2 linked regions of the Mytilus edulis genome follow. Each later gene encodes a partner of the first gene's protein in a complex. Links are inferred from orthologs where the notes say so. Each region holds a gene or a part of one and is shown on either strand. Other genes may lie near its edges.

Region 1 (11,125 bases):
AAATATTAGTTCTATCTTATTTAGTGTCAATGACTCCTCAATTTAAAATTTACATGATGATAAGTGAGCTGTATTTTCGAAGACGGTACTTGGAACATTCAACATAGCCATGGAGATAGACTGGTGACAAAAAATGAATGAAAGTGCCCATACAGATGTCTGCTAACACCTTCAAATAGTAAAACTATACCAACCTGGTTTAGGTAAACTTTTATAATACTCCTGTATAAACTCTTCACCACCTTTCTTTAGATCATCAAGATCATCAAAACATTGCTGCATTTGTTTCTCCCATTTACGAACCTAAATAATGATTTTTAATTGTCATATAGGCTTAGCCTCAACTGTTTGTGAAACACTGCTTTCGTGATTGGTAACACTTATAATATCTTTTTGATAAAGGTTATATTTTAATTTTTTTCGGTTTCATGAAAAGAATGATACCTTTTTCGTAGAACAGTTAAGACAGAACATAGTTAAGATTATTTAAAAAATACAGATAGCTAATGTTTGTGGTCAAAATTCCTTTTATGAGTTTAAACAAAAAAAAATGTCATTTTAAAATGCAACACAAAATCCCTAAATAATATTTCTGTAGAACCCCACATGAAAATAAATTATATATACATGTACAGTATTCTTTATTCATAATTACCTGAACAGTATGATTAAGAGGAGCTGTCACATCCTTGAACATGTCTTTTACATCCTAAAAATATGCAATATTGTGATAATATTCTGTGAATTCAAGCGTGATTTTACCGATATTATTTTTATAAGTCAGTTGACTTTTAGATGAAAATATATAATTTGATAAATAAATAGAACATAAAAACTGCCATCCACAATCTTTGAAAAATTGTTATGTAAAAATAAATCAACCAACAGAATTCTGTTGAATAAGGTCAATTTTATAGCCTTTCAAATATGTGAAAAAAAGCTCATAAATAGATTGAACTTAAATTTTATACTGTAAAGAAAACATTTCTGTTTATAAATGTCAATGCAATAGTGAAAACAAATCTTTCTGAAGTTCTAACTTAAGTGAAAAAAAATCAACAAAACTTGAAATAAGGTTTGGCGTAATTTTTTTTTTTTAACATTAATATAAAGATGAGATTTTAAAGGTACAGGAGAACTGAAAATAATCATAAAAACATAGGATATTATTTTAAGCAGATAACTTTGATACGGTTATGAGTCATGCATTTATTCACCAATATTTTGAATCAAATGTCATAATTATTTAAAATAGAACTGAACCTTCAGTCTGAATGCTTGTAAAAAAACCAAAGATAACTTACTAGTGGTTTTGGTGCAACATTTGTTTTATCGATAATACTTCCTAATTCTGAATATTTCTTTGTTTCACTAGTTCCTGTAGAGAAAAAAATAGAGAACATTTATTTATGTCTTCATTTTATCAAATTAATCAAATGTTAAGAAAAGTAAGCTTATACTTCTTAAACAAGTCAAAAAGCATAGATGTAAAGTGTCAGTTGGAAATTCTAACATTTTACTCTGTGAAAAAGGGGAATATTTTGCATTATACACTTGTGGTTAAACCATTTATTTATAAATACATGTACAATTTGAATAGGAAATTATGTTTTATGTTTTTTTTGCAAAATCCTGATTTTTTTTGTAATTACTTAATAAAATTATGCTAAATACCTCCATATGTAAGAGGAATGCAAGACTGAGCATTTGCCATTTTCTTATCCAGATCATAATCCACAATTCTCCATTCTCCAGTCAATGGTATTCCACTAAGAGGGTCAATTTTAGATGTACGAGTAAATGCATCAATATTTGGTGCTGAATATGTATGTTTTTCGTCATTTGCTTTGATAGTTATAGGTCTGTATAAAGAACTCAGCGATATTGGACATTCATATTGCTGTGCTAAATTATCATCTGTTATCTTGACATATCTGGGTAGTGGCTTCCTTATAATATCTAAACTGTAAGTCTGAGTGTATATAGTAAAATATAGTATGAAACTAAACAATATATACGTAGAAATATTGAATTGAATCTGAATTTTCAAATTGAGTATACTAGTACAAATATTTTATATTACAGACAACAGCCATTGACATCAGGCAAAAACCTAGTTGAAATAGAACAAAAGAATCGAAGCTCTTTGTTAGAGAAGGCGATAAATGCTTACTGTAATGTTTACTATAGTAACACAAATTTTAAAAGTTTATAGAAACAAATAAAATGACAATTTTCTTCTCAATTACGAAGTGTTTCATATTTATAACACCATTTGCATAAGTTTTCAATTTATCTTTTACATAGTTAAGCAGAACAATTAGATATCAAGTCGACGACATGAGTATCTATCAAGTTGGATGTAGAAAATGCATAACCTCCGAATTTTTTTTTTTTAAATTACCACAGACGGAGAACATATCAATCTATTAGTTCAGTAATTTTCGTGTCTGCCCTTTCGTTATGTGACTCAAGAAAAAATTCCAAAAAATGGGTAACAATTGTGTAGAAAAGAGAAAATCTAGTGCATCTTTTTATGTTAGGGTGTGTTTGAGTTGAATATTTTGTCTTGAAAACATACAAAGCAAGAATATTTTATATATCATCTCGCTTCAGTTTTCTATCATTTTTATATATCAAAGCTACAGGTTGACTTTATAACATAAAAAAATCACAGTATTGAAAGATAAAATATATGGGACAAGTGAAATACCTATCTAATGAATCACAAAAACAGAGTAAGTGTGTTCGAATAGCTAATTTTTGTTACTAAAAGTACTTGACGACAGTCTTTTAAGTTGGATGATGAAAATGCATATCTTCGAGAAAAAAAAAAGATTTTTTTGTGTGTGATAACTAGAGTTTATATTTTCCAACAAGTGAAATTTTTTAGTCTGCCCTTCCAAGAAATATTTAATTAGAATTTTTTTGAAATGTTTATGAATTTTAGAAAATTCCACCTGACAATCGATCAGACAATAGATTTGAGTTGAATCAATGCAGACAAAATCATTAACTGATGCTTATTAGCTAGTAGATACATTTGTCTTTAAAATACAACTGACATATAAGGATCTTAATGGTGCTATGTGGATAAATTTATCGGTTTTCAAGGGCAAAATTGGCAGCACGTCATCCCTACAATGGCTTCCATTTCTACGATAGTGAAAATGAACTGGCTTAATGGGGAGATAATTTGACGAAGTAGAATCCTGACTGACATAAATCATGTACTGTCAGTCTTTCTAAACATTTGTAAATGCAAGGTAAAACAAGCACAAAAACATCATGCTTGATATTAATCCTATCATTTTTTGTTTTCTAAAAATGGCCTAAGCACAAAGAATAATGTAGCAAATGATAACATTAACAATTTCAAGTACAAAATGTACATGAATTTAAACATAACAAAATGATCCAGTAATTTTAACATTAGGTTTAAAGTGTTTTTTTCTTCTTTAAACATATCTCTTGAAAGTTTTTACTTGTTAACAATGAAATAATTGTCAATGGTTTTTGGTAGAATTTTAGTATACCTGTTTGTTAGATCCATCAGCTGATGTAACTTCTATCTGGAGATTTGTCTCCCCTACATTAAGAGGTGTAGATGTCCCTGGTTTTTCTTTACATACAAGAACTGCATTTTTGGGATCAGGTGCAATTGGTGTTACTGTCACCTTGTCTGAATTGCAGGGTAATAAACCTAAAGTATTCAACAAATAAAGAAGTAACTAATTATTTTTTTTAAAATGCAGCTTCTATTGTGACTCCAGTAAGCGTCAAACAACTTTCAGAAAAATAACAGATGACTCATATGGTTTATCTCCAGTTTTAAGTGAAGAAACTGAAGCATTATCAAGGCTATTTCTCAACTAATTCAATATATACATTAGGTGAAATTACAATACTAAAATTTATGGTATACACGTACATGTAGGCAAATAAAGTTTATCTTGAGATTGACTTGTTGGCTGCCAAAAAGAATCCATGTGCCATTTACTTACATGATAAAAATATAACTAAGAGTCTTTCCTTTTAATTTTTTCATGAATTCCCTTACATACTTGTTTATTTAATTTTTTTATATATATTTTTTTTTTAAAAACAACGATTATGAACATGATGAAGGTACAATCAAAATAAGATGTCAAATTGACCATAAATCTAATCTTAAAAAATATACTGGATATTATCTAATCTTGAAAAAATATACTGGATAGTTATCAATTTTTTGGTGTAGCAATTACATAATTTTCAAATTTTCTGGGATATAATAAAGGCAGATTTGAATACTTTACTTACAAGAATATTCAAATACATTGTCAGAAAATTCTGGTGATAAGTCTCCATCTGATAACTTTAGATCACTCAATGTAGCATCTTTTGCAGATAATCTTTTGGCATGTATAAAATAATTCTTTATGGTACAATCTTCAGAAGTGACTTCTATCTTAATATCAGTGATTTGACCTTCTTTAAGAGGAACATCCTTGCCACCATCACTTCCCTGTCAACAAATCAATAACAAAAATAACAGTTAACGCTGTACAATTTAGATATCAAAATATTATTTTAATTGCAAGACAGAACCAGATGATCCACAGGGTGCAGCTTTATACGACCGCAGAGGTAGAACCATGAACAGTTGGGGCAAGTATGGACACAACATTCAAGCTTGATACAGCTCTGAATTTGGATTGTGATTAAATAGTTGACACAGCAAATTTAAAGGTTTCTGACACAGAATGAATGTGGTCTGATGAACTTGAAAAAAAATCTTTTGCTTTTGAGCAATACACTATATATATAGATGCTGTTGAATATAAATCCCCTAAAAAAAAAATTGCGGTCGTATAAAAAACCAAAATGACAGAATAAAAGTAAAATTTTGGTTCTGTCGTTAAGGAGTTTAGTTGTGATGTTATGACGTCATATTCAATGTAAACAAAGAAATGCTATCATCAGGTAACATTTTTTCATATCAAAGAATTACTAAAAATGAAATTGATATGTACAGTGTTCCTTCTTATATTTTACTAGACTAATAAAGATATATTTTACTCAAAAAAGAAGTAGATTTCTGCACAGATGTGGGATAATAATAAAGTTAATGATTTTGAGTTCATTAGGGCCAAGTTCACTTGAAACAATTCAAACTGTCAAGTTTACTCGGGTTTCAACAATACGATTTTACTTGAACCACTCGAGTTAACCCCTCGTACTCTGGTTCCAACTCTCACCAAGCCAAGGTTAAACTCGAGAAACTCTTGAATGACGTCAAACCAATGAGAATATTTATTTTCTATGCTTTGTCAGGGCCTCTACCCTAGAGTTACTTAGAGTTGTTCTGAATATCAACTCGAGTGCATTCATGTGATAATCTATTAACTCTGAAGTCTATTGTAAAGTTTTAAGTAAACTTGGCCAAGTAGAATGAAAAATTAGGGAATTTTCCCAATTTTTATTATTTTAGTGGATTTTTCTACCGTAATAGTAGTCCAAATAGAATCATATTCAAAACAGTGTAGCTGTGGCCATTGATTAACGACCTTAAATTCTCCCATTGACTGGGGCAGATTATGTGAACGTTTGACTGTAACAACCGCTGCTCACTATGTACTTGTTAAAGACACTTAAACTGTGGGGCCACAAAAGGTTCTCAACACCTAAATAAAGTAATTAGAAAAACTAATCAGGAATAACACGATGTTTTGATTTATATCATTAATAAGAATTAAAACATAAAGTTATTCCTGGTTAATTTTTCGAATTATTATAATATTAAAGGCGTTAAGAACCTTTGGTGACCCCACAGTTTAAATTCTATAATAAGTAAGTGGTGAGCAGTTGTCGTTACAGACACACGTTCACCTAATCTGTCCCAGTCAATGGAATAATTTAAGGTCGTCAATCAATGGCCACAGCTACACTGTTTTGAATATGATTCTAATAATGACGTCTTGGAAGGCTATTTTAAATTTTTGCTTTGACACCTTCATGCGTCGATGTAAGGGGGTCAAAGAAAAAAATATAATAGCCTTTCAAGATGTCATAATTATTTGGACAACCGTAATAGGGGACTTTGTCCCATTATAAAGAATTTAATAAACTTAAAAGCAAAATTTTGGGGTAAGGTTAAATCTTTTCCCTATTTAGTTCAGGCAGCATGTCAACTATGTTGCTGTCATGTAAAATTGGCACCATCATGTTAAAATCTTAGTACCATTGCAAACTCTATCCTACAATTAGTCAACTCATACTACTAAAAGTCAACTAACACCAATGTTAACTAGAAATGCTGAGAGCTTGTACTATCGCGAGCTTGTAACATTAAAAATACAATGACAATTTACAAAGTATACAAATGTTTTAAAAATAATGTTTGCAATTTTATTTGTTATAATCTGTAAGTTGGAGTTTTCCCGGACTGGGTGAGAGTTTGAAATGGCAAGAGTTTGCAGACAGTGATACAAATTTGATTTAAGTGGTGTGAATTGACATTGGTACAAGTTTGCAATGTTATTTAATAATTATAATTCGTCATTTCAGACATCACTGGCATGCAGTTGCATCTGGCATGTCTGGTTATATCATACATACAGAGCCTGCAGAGGGCCAAACTTTTTTTTATAATTTCTTACAGAAATGCAATATGATGCACCCGTATCACTGGTGAGAGGGTCAACGTGAATTTTTTCCACATTGCTCGCTAGGGTCACATTATATTCTGTTGTGTCTTTATGAAACGCAGGTGACAATTTTCCGGGCTTTATGACTAGTTTATCCAAGTTGCAGTCGTCCATCTTGAAACCTAGGACGCTAATTTAGAGATTAACTTTATGAACATAATGAATTTTGATATACAAAGCCTAAAGAGTATGAAAAAATATGTTAATTTTCAATCTTCTTGGTATTATGTACTTTAAATTAAAATTTTGATTCAAATAATTTTGTTTGAGGCTAAACTCCTAGTCACAGGAAGTGAAAAAAAAATCGCGGGAAAGACAATTTTGTCAACAAAACATTTCAACACTTAAAAATGCCTTTCATTTCAGAAGAAGAATTAGAAGATGAATTTAGTGTATTCGGTGTAGAATTCAGTAGTCCTCAAATTGTTGAAAAATGTAAATGTTTTAAATGATAGAAACTACGTATTGCCAGTTTTAAGCCACTTCCACTAACATTTGGCTATCAAAAAAATTTAGACACTTCGGTACCCAAAAATTAGGCATCGAAAAAAGTTAAGAGACACGAGAAAAACAGTTCGGAATTAAGTCAAATAGGCACACCATTAAGATTTTTAAATTTAACTATGTAAATAAATTGGAATGTGTAAAGCCCTGTTTACATGTTCGCCCTGTCCTTGGTCTGTTCGTCCTGAGTTCTTTCGCCCGTATAGTACGTGTTCATTCTCTTTACTTTTATCAAGGACGTTTTATAATACGTCTTTGCATTTATTCTCAGATCCGGACATCCTGGCATTTACATTTGTCAGGAGGTGATGAAATCCGGAATCCTCTAGATTTTTCATCTATTTGAAGGGGATAACTGATCATTTAAATTGCCGATTATTTTTTAACCAGAGGTTATAGTATGTTAAAAATCAAAATGGAGATAGTATATAGTGTCTTTAACAGTATTAAAAGAGTAAAATTACTATATTCAACTGGTTATGATATATATCAATTAAATTAATTTGCAATAAGTCTATGGAAAATCTAGAGGAATCTTATCCGCATCACCTATCAACATTGTTTACATAACAAAAATGCTAATCATTGATTGGTCAGTTACATGTTGTGATGTCACTGCAGATCTGAGAATTAAAAATTATTGATATTAAGGGGAGGCCTATCATTAAAAAACTCTAAAACACGATTTAGTGAAAATCATCTGTTCCTTATTTAGTTTCCAAGGTAAAGCAATCGTGTTCAGCCACTCAAATTCTGTATTTCGCATGATCAATTAATAAGCCAATCAAAAACGTTGTCTCTGAAGATTATTCTAACATGCTAGATTTTGAACTTGTGTTGTTATCATCTAGTTATTAAATCGTGAATATGGCATGTGAATTTTCATCTGCAAGCAGGTTCTTACACAGCTTCAGAATAAAAGCATGGCTGAGTGACAAAATTCAATGATGCAGTACTACATAAAGATAATACACAGTATTTTTATGCCCCACCTACGATAGTAGAGGGGCATTATGTTTTCTGGTCTGTGCCTCTGTGCGTCCGTCCGTTTGCTTCAGGTTAAAGTTTTTGGTCAAGGTAGTTTTTGAAGAAGTTGAAGTTCAATCAACTTGAAACTTAGTACACATCTTCCCCATGATATGATCTTTCTAATTTTAATGCCAAATTATAGTTTTGACCCCAATTTCATGGTCCACTGAACATAGAAAATGATAGTGCGAAGTTCAGGTTAAAGTTTTTGGTCAAGGTAGTTTTTGAAGAAGTTGAAATCCAATCAACTTGAAACTTAGTACACATCTTCCCCATGATATGATCTTTCTAATCTTAATGCCAAATTATAGTTTTGACCCCAATTTCATGGTCCACTGAACATAGAAAATGATAGTGCGAAGTTCAGGTTAAAGTTTTTGGTCAAGGTAGTTTTTGATGAAGTTAAAGTTACATCAACTTGAAACTTAGTACACATGTTCCCTATGATATGATCTTTCTAATTATAATTCCAAATTGTTATTTTGACCCCAATTTCACGGTCCACTGAACATAGAAAATGATAATGCGAGTGGGGCATCCGTGTACTATGGACACATTCTTGTTTTTCACTAATTTATCATGTTTATTGACATAATACTTGTTGTAACATATTTTTATTTTTGTATTCAATTAAATCATTTAAAGGACAACATACTATTCTTTTTTCACAAAGACCAACAGACAGGTTGGGACTTCCCCCCCCCTCCCCCCATATTATGAGTGGTGTCCCTTAAATGAGGGACCTAAAACAAGGGGTCATTTCACTGTTGAAAAAAAAGAAAGAAAATTTTTAACTCAAAAGTGGGAAAATTCATTATATTTGGAACAATTTTCTAAATGAGGGGTCAAACTAATAAAGAAGATATAAGTTTAGAAACATCACAAAATTCTTTTGACATGAATACTTGATAGATGCATAGTTCTTCATCAAATAATATGAATATAAAGGTGCTAATTTTTTACAGTGGGTTGTATTGTTCTTCCAATGAGGGTTACCCCTCATTTGGAGTGTTGTTCCCAATCTGTCAAAGGTCCATCTTTGTGCATAATTCAAAATTGGAAATTTCAACAAGCATCTAATATTCATGCACAAGAAAATAAACCCTGGTCTGCTAAATACATGTTCATCTTTTCTACCGATTTAATAACTAGAATCCTGCAAACAGGGCATGGGCATTATGTTTTCTGGTCTGTCCATCTGTCCTGCTTCAGGTTAAAATTTATGGTCGAGGTAGTTTTTGATGAAGTCCAAATCCAATCAACTTGAAACTTAGTACACATGTGTTTCTTATCATATGATCTATCTAATTTTACTGCCAAATTAAAGACTTACATGTACCTAATTTTCACAGTCCACTGAACATAGAAAATGATTGTACGGATGTGAAATCCATGTACTTATGACACATTCTTGTTTGAAGAAAAAAAATTATGTCATAACGATAATGGAACAAAGCAGGCTGGATTAGTGGGGCTGCTTTTATGGTAATTCAAGTTTCCTTTTATTCACCTTCTTCCACCTCAGAGCTATCAGTTCTTTGATTCTTCTTTTACATGTGCCATTCTGATTTATTATAATTCAAACTTTCGGTTTAAACATACACTAAGTTTCTTACTTTTTTGTGTGTGATTTAGACTTATTTTCACAACTGTGATGTGTACTTAAATCATTTACAAGTTATTTACAAGCAGTTACAGCTTGTTTGATGATGGAAAACAGGTTTTATGGAAAACAGGTTTTTCCAACAAAATACATCAAACAACCACACATGTTTTGAAAGTACTGGAATTACAAACATTTTTTTACCTGACATAAAGTCCCTTAATTCTGATAATGAATAAATTTCCACAGATATCAGAATAGACAACTTTCGAGTTCCATGCATTTCCGTCAAAAACTCTGGTTTTAGTGAACATCATTCATGCATTTAGGGGCATCCTCACTTCAATTTCTATGTTGAGCGAGTGGTTGGAAAATAACATGTACAAAAAATGTATAATACTATATTGCATGTTTTATTCGGCAAACTTAATTCTCATTTCATGATTTGACAATCAGTTCTGCTGTCATTAGGGAATTGTGATTAAGTACTTACAAAACAAACATTATTTCTAGTTTATCCTGCAGAATGATGATCACTATGACGCTTGATGAATGTTGGTAGTGCAGGGATACAGGCCACCCCTCTATCTGGTAAATTAGGTCACAAAGGCGTGTCTAATTGACAAGTTTTTTTCCGGTGACAGATGAACTCAAAAGTGGTCTATTGTCACAAGTTGAAATGAGCTTTCAAAAGGTTTATCAAGATTTCATTGTATGCATAAAAAAAGCATGCCACTAGCAATAAACAAAATATAAATCAAAATTAAATTAAGTATTTTTAACTTTCCCAGTTTTCCCCCTGATATTGCTATTTATAGGGATGCTTTTAAATTAAAAAAAACATGTTCAAGTTTATATATTCACGAAGATTTATATTTGCGATAGTTTTTGACTTGCGAAAGTACTGAAAATAAATCACTTGCAATAATTAGTAAGTTTACAGTATTCAAAAGTACAATGTACTTTGTTAATTATTTAACATACAACTGTTCGTTATTTATATATGTTTTGAATTGAATTGATGTCTTATTTCAGTACAAGAATTGTGTGTACAGTACAATTTGGGTGCAGAAAAGATAGTTACAGAATGGGTAGCATTTGCCAGCACACACAAAGGTGTACAAATGACATTAGATTCTCTAGACCAATTAGACAGAGAAGTGAGTCATTTTATACATAGAAATTGTAAATTGTAAAAAGAACATCACAAATGTTGACTTTGCTTAAAAATAAGATAGTTCATGCATTGTATATATATATGATAAGGATATCCAATAATCTGTTCTAGATTTACTAGTCC
Region 2 (11,197 bases), on another chromosome or scaffold:
CAATTATAAAGAAACTGGGATTAACATGATTAAGGCATTACAACATAAAGCATAAAATCATATCTAAAATATAAATCTGACAAATGTGATTAAATAATATAGAATTACAAATTGTTTTAAAGACCTTTCCTGCAAAACATTATTATCCACAAAGTTTAAGATTACAACTGTAATGATCTTTCTCTAAGGGCAAAAAGAGTGTAACACAATCGTTATTTCAAAATGGGGGTTCTTTGACATAATTTTTGTACCAATAATAGCAAATTAACATGCAAAAACTGTCTAAATTAACTTACAAAGAGATGATCAATGATGAATAGCCTATTCCAGGAACTAATTGAATCATATATAACTCAGACATCTATCATATATAACATCCATTTACTTTTAACATGAAAACACCAACATTAAAAACTCCCTCCTATTTCAAATTCAAAGAAGCAGGAAGTCTGATTTTAGTACAGGGAGCATGCTCAGTATGCTATAATGTTTGCGGCGAAGTTCCAGCAAACTTTAGGACTCCTTTAAAGTTTGTTTACAAATTTCCTTCAAATTTAAGAAAGTTAAGAGTTTGCGGCAACCTTGCGGCAAACTTTTACATATGTTTGCCGAAAGGTCGCTGCTAGCGGCGAACACTGGTGAACAACTTTCAGGTCTTCTGGCGAACTAAAAAGATTGCCGCAAGGTTGCTGCAACCTTACCGCAAGGTTGAAGCAATGTTTCTCTTTTCATATATATGAAGGTATTTTGTTATTTTTAAAAATTTTGATTCAATTGTATGTTTGTGAGTTTAGTGCAGTGGCAGATCCAGAAATTATCATAAGTGGGGGCCCACTGACTGACCTAACAGAGCAACCAAATTTTTTTAATTGTGGCGATTAAAATTCGTCATTGGCGAAAGAATTTGGCGAAAGAAATATATAACGATTTATTTTCAGCCATCTTGTTTATTTACTTTTTTTCGGGTTTCTCGGACTTTATCCGATCAGACAATTATACTCTGAATTCACTTTGAACTCGTTAAGATTTTAACAGAAAATCAATAATCAGCTGATTGCATTTATAGCTATCGACATCAAAGGACTAATTAATAAAGGTGTTGATTGTATTGTATTATATGACAAAATGATATGGATAAATGGCGTCCGTCACATGTCTCAAAAGGGGTTTATTAACCACTTGGCGATGCACGTGTTTGAATCAAAATTTTGACGATTTCTCTCGATCCTTCTTTTCTCCTTCTTTTAATGATAACCCGGGCGCCCAGCCAGAAAAGAAAACTGTTGTTATGACGAAAAATGTTGAAAAGCAAGAAAGGTCTCTGATTTAAAACTTTATCATTTAACTTTGATATAGATAATTGATTAGAATAGGTACTTTAAAGTCGTTTCATTGACACACGTGTTTCAAGCATTATCATAGTTTTACTTATTTACGATGGTCTAGGATAGAAAAAAGAAAACTGTTCTTATGAAGAAATCTATTCAAAAGGTTGGCATCTAAAAAAAAGACAAGTTTTAAAAGAAAAATATAAATTTGTGTTACTTGGCGAAAAAATAATAAAGTCGCGAAAAAATATATTGTTTTGGCGAAAGAGGTGGCGAAAAAAATAATTGACCCAGGGGAAACCCTGCATTACAGTAATACTTGTTTAGCATGTTCAAGTCATGCTGAAGACTGACTATGGGTGTTGCATTTTCTCTACAAAGAACAAGGAAGAAGACCCGACCCGTTCAAGCATGACTGGTGACCTTGGGCTGTTTTCTACTCTTTGAATGGTTGTTGTCTCTTGACACATTCCCTCTTTCCTTTATCTATTCTATTATTTCATGGCTCTTTGAATATAAATATAAGGAGATATAATATGATAACCAATAAAGACAAAAAAAGTAAAATCACAAAATTCTGAACTTAGAGGAAAATCAACTTTCTAATCATGCTAATACAGACCAAAGGTCACTAAATGGCCTTCAACAATATGCAAAAAAAATTCTCACTTTTGGACAATCAGCTATTATACTGAAAAGTTGTTAATCAAATAAATGAAAACTTATTGATAGGAAGTTCATTATTGAAAAATAATTGATATCTTATTTATCTACTGTCACTCCTTTCTCTGTGACATTTATATATCATTGTATAACCATTTATTGTTAGTGTTACTTGGTGCTAATAACATGTGAATTTGATCTGTACTTGTTTGTCGGTTGTATTAACAGTCATGCATGACAGTTGTGATACACCTTATCGCTATTTGTCCGCCATTACTGGATATCACACAGGTTCCCGTAAAATTTTGACGATATAAAACAAAATATCTGACGCCACAATGGAAAAGTGATTGTTGTATGCGTCAAAAGTTCAAGCGAAGGCAAATAGCGATAAGGTGTATTGTAACTACCAAACTGCAGTTTAAAAAATTCAAAATTAATGGGTTTGAAAATACAGTAATCATTATTTTACATTAATCTCATTTTAAAACTGAGGAAATTGAAAGTAAAGAATTATTACATGATCAAAGCTGTCAGGGCCTATAACATACATGAACTGCAGTTGCCCCTCCCTCCCCCTGAAAAAAGGGTGAAGCTTTCCATACATATGTTTGCTTAGAATCATCATGTATGACAGATGGAAATTTCATAACATAAGGTATATGCATACAAGGTATGACTTTTGCGTTTGAAAAGGTTTATACTTGGTTTTCAAAGTTTAAAGTGTCTGTTGAAGTATTAATTATCACCTATTTGAACTAATAATTGTTTAATCAGCAATTCTACAGTGATAAATTTACCATTTGAAAACAATTGAGAGGATATGATTAGAAAAACAAACCCCAAGCTGATCAATACGACTTGAGAAATTCCCTTTCTTGATATCCAGCTTAGATGAAGCCATTTGAATATTATAAAACATTAAGGTCAGAAAAATGAGAAATCATTATGCTAAAAAATGTTAATTTCTTTCAAACGTCGTAAGGTTAACAATACACTGCTACAGTGGGTTACAAAACCAAACACAGAAGCTGACAAATACTTTATTGTTGGTCCTACATGTTCTGCAACATCATCAGGCAGTCTGGTATAGACCCATCATGGAAAAAGACTTCTCCTTGGGTTTTACACACAGATAATATGAGATTATATGAATTTACAATGGAGAAAAAGACTCTTCTTCTATATCCAGACAACAACATTAACAAACAAAGGGGTAACTTCCACGAGCATGATGAGGACATTATTACAAGAGAAAACATCAATAGCATACATGTAATATAAGAAAAACACATAACAAATTAATTACAAACAAACCGTGCACCGCGACAAAGTTACTGAGAATCGTCGAAAATTACCTGCTTACCACAGCGCTATCAAAAAAATCCTGGGGAGAACACTGAATCACATTAAAATTTTAACCAATTTGATGCTTACGGTAGCCGAAAATTATCGTTTTACGACTGACGGTAAAGGGAATTACCACCTCTGAGCTCTCATGAATCGTCAGAGGTCTAATTTAAGAAATTATCAACACCGTAATTTCTGGAAAAAAACATTAATGTGATTCATTATTAAAATTCAGTTGATTTTATATCAAAGAAAGCGTACATTTCAACATAAAATTGAGAATGGAAATGGGGAATGTGTCAAAGAGACAACAACCTGACAATAGAACAGACAACAGCAGAAGGTCACCAACAGGTCATTAATGCAGCGAGAAATTCCTACACATGGATGAAACAAAAAATACTGTACACATCATTTGTCAATTTTTTTTACCGTTATTCTTCAATTAAGGTAGCACAATACAAAGATTTTTTCACTCCCAATCAGACAACTTTAAACTGATGTAATTCATTTTGAACATCCTTCTTTACATTTTATAAATGAGATACCAAAAGAAAGACATGAAAGAAGAAAGATTAATCTTTCAAATTGTGATAATTTCATTATGACATAATTATTACATAATTAATTATTATGTAATTAGTTGCTATATTGTGATGTTCACACTTGAACGAATTTAGCGTCTTTGTTCTTCATAGCATCCCAAAATATTTTACAGATTCTTGTACAGTTTTGGAGGTCAAACTGTGTTGTGCAAGAATCTATAAAGTATTTTGGGATGCTAGGAATAACAAAGAAGCTAAATTCATTCAAGTATGGACATCACAATACCGCAACTAATTACATAACAATTAATTATGTAATAATTATGTCATAATGAAATTATCACAATTTGAAAGATTAATCCTTCTTCTTTCTTTTGGTACCTCATTTATAAAATTTAAAGAAAGATGAGTGGAATTACATCAGTTTAAAGATGTCTGAGTGGGATGAAAAATCTTTGTATTGCGCTACCTTAAGACCGAATCCGGGTCCGTTCGCCCTGATTCACGTTCGCCATACTACGTGTTCGCCCTGATACCTGTTCGCCCAGGGTCCATTCGCCCAGATTTATATTTTTTTCTGTTTGTTGTCCAGTCGCATAATTTTAAGTATTTGAACAAAATATGTTAAAGTTTGTTTACAAATTGACAGAATATTTATATTGCCGCAATCATTTTATAATTTTCTCTTTGATTTACAGAGTAGAATTGGTATGTACAATGTATTTCTCTTTATTGATATTTGTTAACAAAATAATTGTATTCAGTCAATCATGAATGTATGCAGTATAACTGAGACTAGGACTGTCTCTGAGTATAATAATGAACTTGTAAATCCGTTTCATGATTTACAGTTCGTACATCATTGTGTTTATTAATTTCAAGCTGAATATTTTATCAAAACAAAACGTTTGATTTTTATTAATAATCCATCAAAAGACAAGTATCTACTGAAGACATGAAAAACCTCTCCACTTATTTTCGAAAACTCTTGCGACAAATTCAACACCTGCCAGACAGAACTGCAAACGTAGCTTCACATCTTCTTCTTGGACGGATTACCATTGAATCAGAAATACATAAACGAATACTGAAAACCTTTGGAAATATCATAAGAAATGAAAACTCAATTGAAAGAAAATTAGCTATCAGACAGCTAGCAACAAAATCTCTACAATCTGGTAGCTGGTTTACAAAAACTGTTGAAATTGCCAATATATATGACTTACCATCGCCATATGATATTATAGATAACCCACCCGGGAAACAACTTTGGAAAAACCTGGTAAATAAAACCGTCAATGATCACTGTATAAAACAAATGATAAGTGAAGCAAAATCGAAATCTACTCTGTCTCGCCTAAATTATGAAAATGTCAAAGAAGGGAAAATACATAACATATGGAAAAGCTGTGGCACAAATCCATATGCCATCACATCTGCCTCCTTAAAGGCAAAGTTAGCAACAGGGACAATATACCTGCAATATCATCGAGCTAAATTTAGCAATGGACATGTGTCGCCTATTTGCCAGTTATGTGCAGAGGAAGAAGAAGATATACTTCACTTCATATTAAAGTGCTCTAACCTACAATATATAAGAGATGATTTTCTGCATATGATAGGCGAGGTATTGACAGTAAACCTAGAGGATCAGGATCTTATCCAAGAATTAATAACCAATGACGAACATTTGTGTCAGCTAGTTATCGACTGCTCAAAATTTAGATTTTTAAATGAGAATGCACAGAATAGAATAGAAACATTATCGAGAGGTCTGTGTCATAAATTATTCCAGCAACGGGCAATATTAATTGAACAGTGATTAAAAGCGTGTAATACCGAGCTGAAAAGAAGGGTCATACCAAAAGATAGAACATTTTGTTATATATAGTGTATTTACATTTTACCGTTTTTAATATGAAAGAAGCAACTTTTATATTTGAATGATGGATGACTTTTTATGCATACCAGAATAGTGTAAATATTGGTGATAGGGTCACATCCCCCAGAGGAGATAAATTAATATCTCTTTTATAGTTTTAAAGGTTTTATATATCTTTTAAACATAATCTTGAGGATTTTAACCGCGAGTGATATTACACCGATTCTAGGATTGGTGGTTCTCCTGACATAGGAGGGAGTTGCAGTACAGGTAACAGGTAACAGGTATCACAATAATCAGTGATCCGAATTATTTTGTCATTGAACAATTAACGATCCTAAACAAGCCATAAACTTTTAAATATTTCCCTGTTTCCATAAATTTCAAGAATATATATACCATAGAAATATCTGAATAAGATTTTTCAACTTCAATGCCTTGAATATCGATATTTTTTAGTAGGGCGAACGGACTCTCTGGGCGAACGAACTCAGGGCGAACGTACCCAGGGCGAACATGTTATAAGGGCGAACGATCCCGATACCCTTAAGACCCTCATAGGCCTATAGTAACTTGTGAAAAACTTGTGGTCACAGGGAGACAACTCACTTTTAAAAATAATTAATGTCATGATATGGAATAACTGCTTAAAATAAATAAAAGTTTTCATCAAAATCTCAAAGCTGACTATTAAACTAACATTAAATATTAGATGACATCTTCTTATTCGTTGTAGTTTTGTTTTTTTGGCAGTGTTTTCTTACTTTCTTCTTTTGTGGAAATTCTTACGACCAAATTACGGGAGTCGTAAAAGTAGAATTTATACAATATTTAAAATCAGTTATATAGTTTTAAAAGATATTTTTCAATGCTTATCTTTCGAAAATCTAGTATTTCAGTATTTCATGATAAGGTAAAATAAAATTATGAAGTCGTAAATTCTTATTTCCGGTAAATAGATTTTGGCGCTAAATTTTGTAAACAAAAATTTGATACCATGCCAGGAGAAGAAAAAGAGCACGTTTATGATGCAGCTTCATTGCCAGATTTATTGCCCATTTATTACAAAAGACTTTTTCCTTATGGACCATATTTCAAGTGGCTCAACTATGGCGGGGGTATGTTTTTTTTCCAAGGGCACTTCTCTCTGTGTCAATAGGGGTTTCTTCTTATCATATGGTAGGTACGGAAAGTGATTTTTTTAAAATTAACTGATCTAAGAAAACTTTACCTCATTTTAAAGGCATTGTGAAGACATTTTCAAAACAGTTTCACTTTTATCAATACACATAATAACAACGAAGAAATAGCAAATTTTCAAAATGATAATTTTTTACTATTCTGGAAAAACTGTTTCCTCTCTTTAAAAAATAATAAAATATATTTTTTGAATCATTTGGGTTATAATTTTGTTTATATTGCTTCTTTTACATCTTGTTGGTCTATTTCAATCCTCAATATTAAGTTTTTTGGTCAAAATAGATACATAAAGTATGAAAATGTCAACCACTCGCATGAAATTCTATCGTCCAAAGTCACATGATGATACCTTTATATTTTCCTTTTTTCAGAGCATCAGTTGGTATATTGAAAATGTAAAGAAAACTTTATAAACACTTGAATGTAAAGAAACAAAATTTAAATATGAATATTACTCTTTATATACAAATGTATATGTTTGTGTGTGTGTATAAAAAAGAAGATGTGGTATGATTGCCAATGAGACAACTCTCCACAAGAGACCAAATGACACAGAAATTAACAACTATAGGTCACCGTACGGCCTTCAACGATGAGCAAACCTCATACCGCATAGTCAGCTATAAAAGGCCCCGAAATGACAAATGTAAATCAATTTAAACGAGAGAACTAACAGCCTAATATATGTACAAAAAATGAAAGAAAAACAAATATTTAACACATCAACAAACGACAACCACTGAATTACAGGCTCCTGACTTTGGACAGGCACATACATGTACATATAGAATGTGGCGGGGTTAAACATGTTAGCGGGTGCCCAATCTTCCCCCTGACCTGTGACAGTACAACATAAGAACGAACTATAAAAATCAGTTGTACCATGAGAGACCAGAAAGTTTTGAAATATGTCATCTGTCTTTGTATAGTCATAATGGTTTTAGAATGTTCCCTTTTCATTAACATTCTATTTAATGAAATATTCTTATTCTTATATATAGCATGTATAGTGAATGCTAATATAAATAAAAATAAACAACAACCTTCTAACAATTATTTTACAGGACTAAAATACCTGTTGCACTGAAAAACAATGAAAATAATATAACATTATTTTTATTCGAGAAATTTCAAACAAAATAATTATGTCAGATCACTGTAAATACTTGTATGTATACAAGTAAAGTAAATTCATAACTGTATATCAGTTACAATATTTATACAGTGAAATCTGTAAACCAATCTCATTCAGGACTGAAGTTCAAAATGCAATACAGTATTGAATGTGAATAGTATTCCCAGTGAACTGCCGCTACTGCATGGATTCCTATGTATGTTTTTAGTTGAACATGTTGAAAATACATATATTGATTGTTGTTAAACCACATTATTCATTATCCTTACTATCTCGTGTGCAATGGCAAGTGGTTGAACTATCTTTAAATCGCAGTAAACTGGCTGTATAATGCAAAAAAAACTATCTCTGCTGATTTCCAATCAAAACTAAACCAAAAGTTGTCCATGCAAGGGAAATAACTCTGTATACACAAAAAGGAGGGTTATTTATAAAAATTTATTTTGATATGAACACAGCTTTCTAGATTTATTTATTGGACCTAATTATTTAATTAATATATTAAACTTAATAAAAAAGTACATTTTATGACTGTATAACATTCCCTTGTATTTTTTTGAAACGAATGTAACTTTCAAACCCTTGTTTGTACCTCAAATATTTCATCGTATTCCCGAAAATTATAATATACAGAATCATGAATATTCATATAATATCTATCAAAAGCAATCAAAACCTTCTGAGACTTAACAAGTTAATAGAAGGCCGTAATCGGAGGTCACCCAAAGATTTTATTTTTACACACATCTGGGAACAATTATTTAGGGTAATTTGGAGTTATCTCCCATTGGTTTGCCATACCTACATATGGTATCCATGCAGTTACCCATCAGATTTTTGGGATACGATTGCTGTCAAGCAATCTGTAGACTTTTACCATTGACCCTATGATACACTCCCTCACGTCATTCGTTTTATTCTAAACATTCAGCAACATCTCAGATTCTTATGATTGTCTTGCTTTAAAAGGTAAAAACAAGCAAAACAATTGAACATAAACAACTTTCCTGTAATGTTTTACTCATAATCTTCATGTGTGATATTTTCCTTGACTTATATGCATGTTTTTAACAATACGGAAAATCAGAATTAAACAGTATTTATATTTAGTGTTTTTATAAATTTAGAAACACGTCAGAGGGAATTCCCAAATTTTGATAACTTGCGAGAGTTCTCTGAAAGCCGATCGATAATTCTATTTCTGTCACAAGAACTGAAGTGGAGTATTTCTATATTTTACCGTTATGAAACTGATATTTGATACTGTACTCTCATAAAGAAATGGAGAACCATTCATCATATCATTTAATAAACGTTCTTGTTCCAAATTGCAAGTGGCGGTTTGTTTATGTATTTTAAATGCCCATGCGTGGTCTCACTAATTAGAGACAAAAAGAATTGTAGAGACAAAAAGCGTCAAGAAGCGACAAGAAGAATAATATTAGCAACAAGAAACTATTTAGCGACAAGAAAACATTTTTTTATTTATATTTATACTTATTCGAAATAAATATTAAAAAGATATGCAAAAGAAAACAATTTCAACGACAGGAAAATTAATTTTGATAGGGAAAAAAATTAAACTTGTAAATCTAATTCAGTTGCTACATTTATTTACATGATATTTTATATAAGGTATCACAGGAAGTATTACCTTTACCCTGTCGTTTTATGGTATTACTTTTACTTGTGTTTTAGAACAATAATATATTTTGATTTTTATTTGTTTTTAAAACTATTTTTGTACAATATATAATTAACTTGCAAAATGCATTATTTGTGCATAATTGTCCAGAAAATACATATACAAATTGTGAAATACAAATTAAGAACTGAAATCAAATAAGAGGAAAACATAACTAAAACGTGAATATTTTTCATCATTTTATTTAGTGTATTGTCTCATTTAACGATATTTATCATGTTTATGCATATAGATTGAAGATTAAAGGAAACTGATGACAATCTTGAGTTTTCAACAGTCAGGCGTTCACTATTCGGTACAATAATTGTATATTCTGGTGCATGTAATAGATGAAGGTGTTAATGGATGTTATTGTAGCAATTAAACAAAGGACACGCACCTAGTTAATCTCATTTGATGCTCTGAATTGTGTATTACCTTAGAGTGAAGCCACAGCTAATGTTGGTCCTATCAGGACAAATTAATTGTACAGTTAGGAAGGAAATAATATTTCATGTTTTTTTTTTATTAAATCCTTCAAAAGGAAGGTGACAAATCTTTGTTTTTATTTTCATTTTATAGCGTTTACATTTCCTTTGCTCTTACACATGTTTAATTTCTTCATATAAAAAGTGCACAATCTCTTCCTCGAATTTTTTTTATTTCTTCATCTTTCAATATAATCCTAAAAAAATATTTTGATGTATGTGATAACAAAATGTATTCTTGTCGCTAAATAGCTTCTTGTTGCTTTTTGTCACTAATTTTTTTTCTTCTTGTCGCTTCTTGACGATTTTTGTCGCTAATTAGTGAGACCCCACATGCGTGTAGTTTTCCTGATTTCAAGGGGTATCAGATTGAGTGATTCCCCGCTTCATTGATTAATTTGAAACTCATGGGATTCGTTCTATGTCTGTCTGCATATGGAGGGCTATTGTTGTTGCACAATTTTAAATCATATGCATAATTTAAATTAAAATAAATGTTTCATCGTAAAGATTTCCTATAACACCCCTTCAGCAGAAATGGAATCTTCCATATCGTTTCGAGTTGTCTCCCTTTTCGAAGTATTGGTCAAGAAGAAAAACTCATTAATGCCGATAAACGTCGTATTATATTAAGAACGATCTCAATGTAAACAGAGGAGTGTGTACGGAAAGGAGTCATGCCATCTGACCCAAAGGAACTTCAATAACTAAAGAGTAAGAAATGGGGTTCCTCCTAAACTGGTCCGCCGTTCTATATATAGCTTCGCACCGAAGGTCAGTGTAACGATAAGTGAACACAACAGGGGTCCAGTTTAGGGTTCCTCCTAGAATTACGGTGATAAGATACGGATGCAAGTTAACTCGTACCGCGGCATTGGAACCAAAAAAGTTAACTTGTACTACTGAGAAGTCGTACCATTCA

Evidence for each region.
Region 2: DNA polymerase alpha subunit B-like (region 1) and DNA primase small subunit-like share a complex: the UniProt entries of both Drosophila melanogaster proteins name them as parts of the alpha DNA polymerase complex. The link is inferred for Mytilus edulis from reciprocal best matches to the Drosophila melanogaster genes PolA2 and Prim1.

What each region holds. Positions count from the first base shown.
Region 1 is NC_092346.1:69,958,335-69,969,459, forward strand, and holds the start of DNA polymerase alpha subunit B-like, read left to right. Parts: upstream 1-6,977; 5' UTR 6,978-7,039; coding exon 7,040-7,124; intron 7,125-10,860; coding exon 10,861-10,985; intron 10,986-11,125. Other genes in the region: uncharacterized protein, read right to left, coding at 195-303, 656-709, 1,305-1,378, 1,675-1,972, 3,537-3,703, 4,303-4,507, 6,642-6,803. UniProt on the Drosophila melanogaster protein: Accessory subunit of the DNA polymerase alpha complex (also known as the alpha DNA polymerase-primase complex) which plays an essential role in the initiation of DNA synthesis.
Region 2 is NC_092357.1:7,812,469-7,823,665, forward strand, and holds the start of DNA primase small subunit-like, read left to right. Parts: upstream 1-6,715; 5' UTR 6,716-6,765; coding exon 6,766-6,886; intron 6,887-11,197. UniProt on the Drosophila melanogaster protein: Catalytic subunit of the DNA primase complex and component of the DNA polymerase alpha complex (also known as the alpha DNA polymerase-primase complex) which play an essential role in the initiation of DNA synthesis.